2 linked regions of the Oryza sativa Japonica Group genome follow. The protein of the gene in region 2 interacts with the protein of the main gene of each other region in a pairwise test. Links are inferred from orthologs where the notes say so. Each region holds a gene or a part of one and is shown on either strand. Other genes may lie near its edges.

Region 1 (4,496 bases), on a different chromosome or scaffold from region 2:
GAATGGAGCTAGCTCCAACTCCTCTTCTGATCGGTAACAAACGAAAAGGCCGCATCCCAAACAACTCATACGGAACTGCTTTTCAAGCTTCCCTTCTCCCCTGCATACATTAGAGAATCATCAAAGTTTGGAGTGCAACCTAGTAATTATATTAACCAAAATGATCCAGATATGGCATATAAGAATTGTAAATGGTGATGAAAATTGTAAATGGTGATGACAAAACAGAATGCCTATAAAAGTTTAGAAGTTAAGAAATTAATGAAGGGAGAATGTGTGCAACAAAATCTATTGTTATGGTGTTAAGTCAGGCAAAACTGTGCACAGACACACTGTGTTAAGAAGCAGTACTGTGCTTTCTTCTAGAAAAGAACTTGTAGCACTGAATTTTGCAGTTCATAATACCTGATAATTGGATGAGTAATCACCAGGAGTTGAACTCAATATGAAGAAGATTACAATCACGGTACACATAACATAAGATCTGTTGGTGGCAGCCTGAGCTCAAAAGCCTGGAAGCAGAGGCATGGTACAGGCCATGTAGAACCCAGCCAGAGTGACACTAGATCTATTGAGAAGCGATCGCTGCCATGGCATAGTCAATATACAGACAGGTTCAGCTCATCAGCATTATCTCTTGTGGTAGGATGGGACCAAGCTAATCCAGAGTTCCAGACGTTTTTTCTTCTCCTTTATTTTTTGAGGCAAAGGATGTTATTCTAGTATTTGGTATGTTTTAAACTGTATTGTGTATTCTAAATTTTAACTTTCTCTACCGAAAAATGTGATTTTGCTTTTCTATTCTTCACTCGAGTACAATCTCCAACAATCCTCACAAACTAAGGCCAGGAATATTTATCAGAAGTTCAGGTCCATCTCAGGCATGTCCCAGGTAACCAACCAAACAGCCACTTAATATCTATAAATAATGCAAGAATATCTAAGAAACTGAATGGTGTTTTCCTCTAAGACTAAGAAAAGATTCATAGGATGACTAATATACCGTTTCAACAGGACCTTTCCTGCCTCCTTCACATTTAGCCTTGAGAGATGTTTTTTCTTGTCTAGTACATGTGCTCTGTCAGTCTTCCTCTTTGGCATTTTCTGCAATTGGGTATCTTTAGAATAAACACATCAGAATGGGGAAATTTCCAGACAGTTACAGTCTCAACAATAGATACTAAATACAAAATCATGTTCCTTAAACTTAAAAAATGGTGAGCATTATATAGCACGGCAATTAATTTTGTGATCCCAAATATCCTTTGGCAGGTTAGCAACTAAATAGAATGACTCAATATGTCATAAAGCACAATCCCTCCAGTTGAAGATAGAGTTGCAACAGTTACAAATGGCATTCATATAACAAGGTGGTAGGCTTGCAGATAGTAGCTTTGGCTAATTCTCTAAGAAACGAAAATCAGGAAACAGAACCCAAATCCACCACATTGTTGTTGGCATGATTGAAGGATTAGATTCAACTTCTGAGTCAGTTATTGAGCTGAATCAAAAGGAATAGATAAAAGATATGAAGAGCCTAATAACTTAACATGGTTGTTCCCCGGACATCTAGTGTAGTTAATTCCAAAGAGGTTTTAGCCCATTTACCAAACAGGGTTCAAATGAAATTCGAAAATTTTTCTGGTGGATTAGAGCTGCCAAAAAACAAGAATTATCATAGACTACCAAGTATGCTGCTGACCTAGCAGAACTGAAGCACTATAATTGGTCCCATGTAACCTACTTGCTATCAATTAGATCATTATGTCGTGCAAAACAGACCTAATTTCACTTGTTTACGTAACAATCATCTTCAAATGGCATATCTTTAGGATTAGGGCTCAGATTCCAGTCAATAGCATAACAGCAAAATCTACCCAAATCACTAACCAAAGGAAGAATACAATACGCAGTCACCCTTGCAAACACTCTGCATCTCTAAAGTTTTTTGGTTTAATTCTGGACAAGTTTCATGAAATGGAGATTAACATAAGACATTCAGATTGAACAAAAGTTCACAAGCAAGGCCTAGGGTAAAAGACAAAATAACCACTAACATCAATGAATAATTCCTTCGTAGAAATAGGAGACTAATCTACATGGATAGCCCAGCCTCTGGTTTTCTGACTCCCACATTCTGTTGTACAAAACAATACCAACACACCATGCAGAACACTAAAAACTGATTCTGGTGAGCTCGGATAAATGCACTACTGTATGTGGGCCTATATCACAAGTTTGCTACAGAAACAGGTCTACAGTTCTTATCAAACAACAATTGGTATGCATACATAACAATTTTATTTGATCCCAAAATGGTAGGTGGTTTCAAGTATACTTGTAAACAACATATACTATATGCAGAGAAACAAGACCAGATTTGTTCGTTCATCGTTGTAATATAAGCAAGCGTGAAAATCTGCAAGCTAGAACCCACACAAAGAACATGAATTCTCTAGAAGGTGAAATCCTATGCTCGCTGTGCCTGTGCTGCTCATGCTTGTGAGTAATTCGCAATGATTAGATCAAAACTACACCTAAAGATTTCCCACTGAATGCTGAGCTGTATACTAGTGTAACATAGAACTAATCCAGAAGAGTAACACGGATCTGGTAAAATTTAGCAACCTGAGCTCTTGGGCGAACAAGAAGGGGAATTCCCCAAAAGGGGAAACGAACAGGAGGGAGGGGGAAAGAAGCTGACCGGTGATGAGGACGTGGGAGGCGCAGTGCTTGCAGTAGTAGACGAAGAGGTCGGACTCGGGCCCCTCCGGCAGGGCGTCCTCGCTGGAGTACGTGTGCGTCGTCCGCTTCGGCATCCTCCTCTCCGCTCAGCTTGCTGCGCCGGCGGGGAATATGCCCCCGACAGAGGTATAGCACGGCTGCTCAGGCGGGCGCACCGTCGAGGAGGGATCCGCGTCGCCGGCGATGGGTGGGGGGCGGGGCGGGGCGTGCGGTGGGAGACGACGGCTGTAGCAGCGGCGGCGAGGTTGGTGGTGGACTCGACGAGGTCGCAAGGAGGAGGAGACGTGCGCTGCGCCTGCGACCGGTCGGATCAGGAAAGAGAAATTACAGCACTGACCTTGGGCGTGTTTGGGTTGTTTTTCTTGTTCCACGATTTATTTCGTAAGCTAAACTTAAATTCACTCTTGATTTGTTTTCATAATGAAGAGAAAAAAATTGGCGACGTAGTGAATTTGATGGAACTGGGGCGGCGATATGTTTTCGATTATAAGTGGAGAAACTGGTTTATAAATTATAGGTACGCTTTTTAATATAAAGGTAAAGAATATATAAGATACGATAAAGAAAGTTATATTGTAAAGTTTTGGAATTTTAAAGGTTGATTCTTAAAGATAATTTTAGCCTATTAAATTATGCAAAGAGGGCCAGAAGTGAAAATAGTGAAAGAAATCTAAAATTATTAAAATGTTAAATTCTAAACATTTTAAAAATCAACTTGTACTAATTCACAATTCGACCAAAGCAAACTCATATTAATAAATCAAAAGAGATGCATATTTAATAAATAAAACCAAATTAGACGCATAAGGAACCAGAATTCAACGAAGCACTCGTTACCTAGGTTTAGAAGGCTTAAGCAATACAATGCATGAACGAAACATTCTAAAAACCGCCTTAAGTTTCTTTTATTGAAAAATTTTCAAATGTAACTATAGTACAACTTAATATAATTACATTATAACTACATTATAATTACATATAACTAGTATGTAACATGCATAAAAAAATTCAAAACAAGGAGTTTAGTTTAGCGGGGAGGCACGCGCACATGAAGTTGGAGGTCGTGGGTTCACTCCCGTCGGTTGTGCAATGTTGCTATTTTTCCCACTCCCCCTTCTGCGTGAATCTTAAAGCCAATCAAAATATCCAAATTTCCCCATTTGATGAGGAACTAGGTTTCGATCTTCTGATAGATATGGATAGCTTTCGATTTGGTAGAAACTTGACACATACAATCCGGCTTTCGATCAACACAATCCAAATCCTGCAATCGCGACACCACGTCTTTCTGGTTATCAATCGTACCGAAACCCGATTATCTCGCCAAGAAGGCTAATCCCTATATGCGAATCGAAGAACACAAGCAAGAACAAGATAGATTGTGACTCAATTTGCAATTGAATGATTAAGATCTCTGTCAGGGTTACGGGTCAGGCATACCCTCTACCCTTTGATATACATTACGTATCGACATGGCATACCCACGCGTACGCGGATATTTCCTTTATGATCTAAGGAAACTTTTCACGAAATCAATAGACGGGAAGAGTCCTTCTCGGACTGAACTGGGTTACCTACGTATTGTATTGGGTCTGGTATGTTTGAGTCCTACTCGGAGAGCTCCAGACCTGCGATATAAAAGGGACCCCCCGGGGAGGGCATAGATCATCGAATCTCAGAGCCAACACAACCCACACAGCCTACGAAGCCGGAGCCTGCGAGGGGCCAAGTCGTCGAGAGCTAGTCGAATC
Region 2 (4,448 bases):
CTCAGAATCAATTCAATTTTGCCCATTGCACTATTTACCTTTGCTGCATTGGTAATTGTTTTAATATCCCTTCTGAAATTTACACACTGTCGTAGTTTGCCAGTGCGAAGGGAACTAAGTGAGCAAACCTCACTTGTGAAAAAGGGGACTCTGTTAATTTATTTTTTGTATGCGGTAACTTATTTAGAAGCAGTTTAGATTCTACCATCCAATGGCATCTAAACTTTGAGTGAATACTTGCCTTCCATTTTTAAAATCATCTCTTGTCCTTATAATCTTGTGTAGAAGATGGATGTAGAGGCCAATAGCTGCAAACTGATAGTGGTTCGGAGCTAGGAGCCTCGGACCAACTGCCACTTTGCATCTCTGATCCTGTTAATAGCACAAAGTTGTGTAGGAGCAAAACAAAAAAAACAAAAAAAAAACAGCTATTACATTTTTAGCTATAAGTCAATTGGTCATGCCTTCTGATGTTGTGCTAAGTACTCCACACTTTCGCTAGTTCCAGAAACAAGAAGTTTAATGATATACGCACTATTAGTTTGATTGCCACCAAAAAGATGTGTTGATTTTTGACATCTGAACTCAATTTCCAAAGCAGAAAAAAGGAAGTTACAATGTACACAGGAGACTTCGTTGCTATTTTCAAACCGCTAACAAAGAGCCTAATCAGCATAAGTACGGGATGCTAGTATGCTACCCTGTTCTCACTTAGTACATATGATCTCGGATGAGCATGTGTAGTCGACTCCAGAGTTGGTATCCGAGCAAACCTATTTGCATAGGGCTCTCAGGTAAGAAAAGCAAGACCAACTTCTAACAGCACAATGGAGATCAAAACGTCTTCCTTGCGTGGCATTTTATCGCCTGTAGCGGTAGCGCTTGAAGTTGAAATAGAGGTGGAGAATCCCACGTTCGAATGTGCACTTGAAGCCCTTCTTATGTGAGTATTCCCACTCCTTGTTGACAATACGGAAAGCCTGGTGAAGAAAACAGAGTAATTAAGTGAAGTGCCCATGAAACTCTACAGGATTAAATTTGAAGATATGGGAATAGAGGCTTACTATATCCTCATATGGAGGGCCCGCATGGAATCTTATGAGGCATGTCTCACCGGTGCTCCCGTCTTTCTCTATCGTGTATGTTGGCGCCTTTGATTTATCCACCAGGTCAGGGTAAAATATATTGAACTTGTAGCCCTGGACGATTTTCGGTGGGGGGTTGTCGTGGTCATAGTGAGTCTGGTTGTATTTGTTCCACTCATATCCAGTATGCACCCGATTGAAGTACTTCGGTTTTCTTGGTCGATACTTGTCGTGCCACCAATATACCTGTGAGCACATTAAACAGGCATATTTTCATCAGAAACAAAGTCAGCTTGCATTCAAGTTCACTGGAAGCAGATCAATGCACTTAAGTTGTTAAATAAATCTTCTAGCATGTAAAAGCAAGCCAGCCTCCACAATATTGCTTTGGGCTAATATTATGTGCACAATCCAGATCAAATGATCTTGGGGTTAAATGAGGAAATAACAAGTGCAGTGAAGGTCTTTGTGACAGACCATGTTGTAGAGGGTTGTTCAATGAACAAATTAGTGTAAAGCTATCCTGCATAAGGTTCATGATTCAACAGGACCACCTTTTACCAGACATGGGTGGTTATGAGCTCTGTAGGGGCTAAAAACTTGCCAAAGTATGCAGAGTTAGAGCTGGACTCTGGTAAAAGCATTCCAACCACAAAGTTTTTACAACACAGAATATTGCAATATGGGTATCAGATACTGTTCTGTTTAGAAGGCAAGGTGGTACAGTGATAGCATTGCTGTTTCTCTAGATATAAAAAAATTCATGTTACCTGTGAATCAAGGTTCACTTCAGCTCCTGAACCAAACACAGCATCTCCTTCCTCCATAGCTCCCATTGCTTTCATTGCTTTCATCTCCATCTCATCGGGTACTCTTGTCTTCACTGCGATGGCCTGCTGAACTTTCTTTTGATGCTCCATAACTACAGCTTCACGTTTTCGATCCTGGACATTAATTCAAAGTGCATAGGAATATTCTATGAATTGCCAACATTTAAAATCTGCAATCAACTCACGAATGTACCTAATGATGTAATCCTGAATTGAGATAAAAATTTCATGTATGTAAACTCCAATATATAAGCCAATAATAACACCTTACACTGACAAATGACCGTAAGTGTACTATGGTACACGATGAAACTAAAAGGCCTTTCTCAGGGTAAACATGAATGGGTCAATGGGAATCCAGTTGGTGCCTTAAGAAAAGATCTATATGATACCTAAACAATTGTACTGGCTTGTTCATCTTTTTGCACAATATAGTGTCTAATAAATAGTAAGTCTGCCAATTTGTAAAACAATTGCAGTTCACTTCACTACATAAAAACTACCACTATTTTCTTAGCATTTACTTCCTCCGTTTCATATTATAAGACTTTCTAGCATTGCCCACATTTATATATATATATTGATGAATCTAGACATATATGTGTGCCCAGATTCATTAACATCTATATGAATGTGGACAATACTAGAAAGTCTTATAACCTGAAACGGAGGCAGTATTAAAAGCTAAGTGTAGCAGGAGTGAGGACACTACCAGTTCTGCCTTGTCCTCCTCAGGATCAATTGCATCTTCATCTTCATTGCCATGCATTAGCTCAGGAGAAAAGGATCCGTCTTCTTCATCCAAATGACTCTCTGTTTGCTCCGCTATAGGTTCAGGCGAATATCGCTTATCATCTACACATAAAGTAGGTATAAGAACTCATAGTCGCTAGAGTTACAGCATGGAAGGGAGTATTTGAGTGACTGGAAATACAGAAATAAAACTAAACCTTCATCATCATCATCATCATCATCGTCAATATGTGTTGCATCCTTCTCTTTAGCATCGATTTCATCCTCAGATTCCTTATCCTGCTCAATGGAATCAGGATGCTCCAGACGATGTAGATGCTTCCGTAAGATCGAAGCATGGATTTCCCTCAGGCAAGCCTGCAATGCAGAAAAAGGTAAGCTTTCACCTATTATACACTATTTAAACCGGGCAACCATATAAACTGCAAATTCAGAAAGTTAGGCAAAGCAGTTTCACAAGTTCATATAAGAATCCAAACCAGGATCTGATTATGATGCAAGAACTAAGGTCAAATCAAGATACCAGAACACATTTTATTTGTGTAATGCAAATGAAACAACCAAGATAGTGTGATATGGATGGAATCACATTTGCTACAAGAAGAAAAGAAGAGTGTCTTTTAGTGTCTGCAAGCATGGCATACCTTTGCTTTGTAAATATGAAGGCGTTTCAGAATGGCCTCCCAGTATTCAACAACTTTTGCTGTTCCAGAGCGCATTTGGGACTCAATTTGACTTTGCATCTCTTCTAGTTCTGTGGAAGTCTTACCCTCCAAAAGATCCTTTACATCACCCTCAATACTTGCATGTAAGCCCCTCTCTTCCGCAAGAACATCAGGAGGTGGTTCCTCACCACGCACCCTAGCCCGATCCAAGGCATCTCTTTTCCGAGCCTCACCTAGCTCCCAGTCACATACCACCATGAGTGCCTGATGAATTTGAAATAAAGAGTGGACAATTGGTCAACAGCCCTGAGCATCCTTGCTAATTAGATCAAGAGAGCAACATGAAATCACAGAAATTATTAGTTCCTACTGTCATATTAGGAATAACTTGATTTAGTTTTTTTTTTGTGAAAACCTACGGCCTATAGGCAAACCATATATACAACAAGCTAAAAAATATGTTCTGACATACTACGGCACAATATTTTTGCCAAAGATCGATCCAACAAAACATAATTATCAAAATCTCAAAAATTTAGCATTACTGTTTTGGACTATATGCCATTTGGTACTAACCTCAATCAACAGGAATATACATTATGCAACATACACATCAGTCATATGAATTCATATGATTATTCAAGTAAAGGGTAATATTATAATGAATGTTGAGACAAAGACACACCTCCCAGTATTTGACATTTATTTGGCTTTCCCTGTCCAGATCAAGATGCATCTTAATGTCATCGCGCAGCTCTTCCATTTCCTTCACCGTTAATCCCTGCATTTAGCACATCACATATGTTTAAGTGTTAAAAGGAAAAGGGAACTCTTTCAGATCTGGGCTAGTTGTAAAGTAAGAACAGATGGAGTGATTAAATTTCAAACCCATTGAGAGATACATGTTTCCACCTCTCTAATTAGAATGTAGTTAATGATGAATCGTTAGAATGTTTAAGGCTATTTCTAAGATGTAAGGTATCTTAGGATATATTGAAACATTGAACCTTTTACTTTGAATACAAGGACACAGTATTCCTGCACGTTCTAAAAGGGTAACGCTTAAGGCGGATGAAGCTGGAGATTATAGAAGGATAAACAGTTGGTTATAGGGA

Evidence for each region.
Region 1: the proteins of splicing factor Cactin (region 2) and UPF0235 protein At5g63440 interact in binary tests that used the Arabidopsis thaliana proteins (3 or more experiments, as listed by UniProt). The link is inferred for Oryza sativa Japonica Group from reciprocal best matches to the Arabidopsis thaliana genes AT1G03910 and AT5G63440.

The regions. Positions count from the first base shown.
Region 1 is NC_089041.1:11,606,278-11,610,773, forward strand, and holds the start of UPF0235 protein At5g63440, read right to left. Parts: upstream 3,077-4,496; 5' UTR 2,820-3,076; coding exon 2,705-2,819; intron 1,119-2,704; coding exon 1,004-1,118; intron 101-1,003; coding exon 1-100. UniProt on the Arabidopsis thaliana protein: May play a role during early embryonic development. Probably involved in pre-mRNA splicing.
Region 2 is NC_089037.1:34,339,209-34,343,656, reverse strand, and holds the end of splicing factor Cactin, read right to left. Parts: intron 4,115-4,448; coding exon 4,019-4,114; intron 3,598-4,018; coding exon 3,313-3,597; intron 3,026-3,312; coding exon 2,866-3,025; intron 2,771-2,865; coding exon 2,628-2,770; intron 2,030-2,627; coding exon 1,856-2,029; intron 1,332-1,855; coding exon 1,065-1,331; intron 981-1,064; coding exon 861-980; 3' UTR 519-860; downstream 1-518. UniProt on the Arabidopsis thaliana protein: Plays a role in pre-mRNA splicing by facilitating excision of a subset of introns. Required for embryogenesis.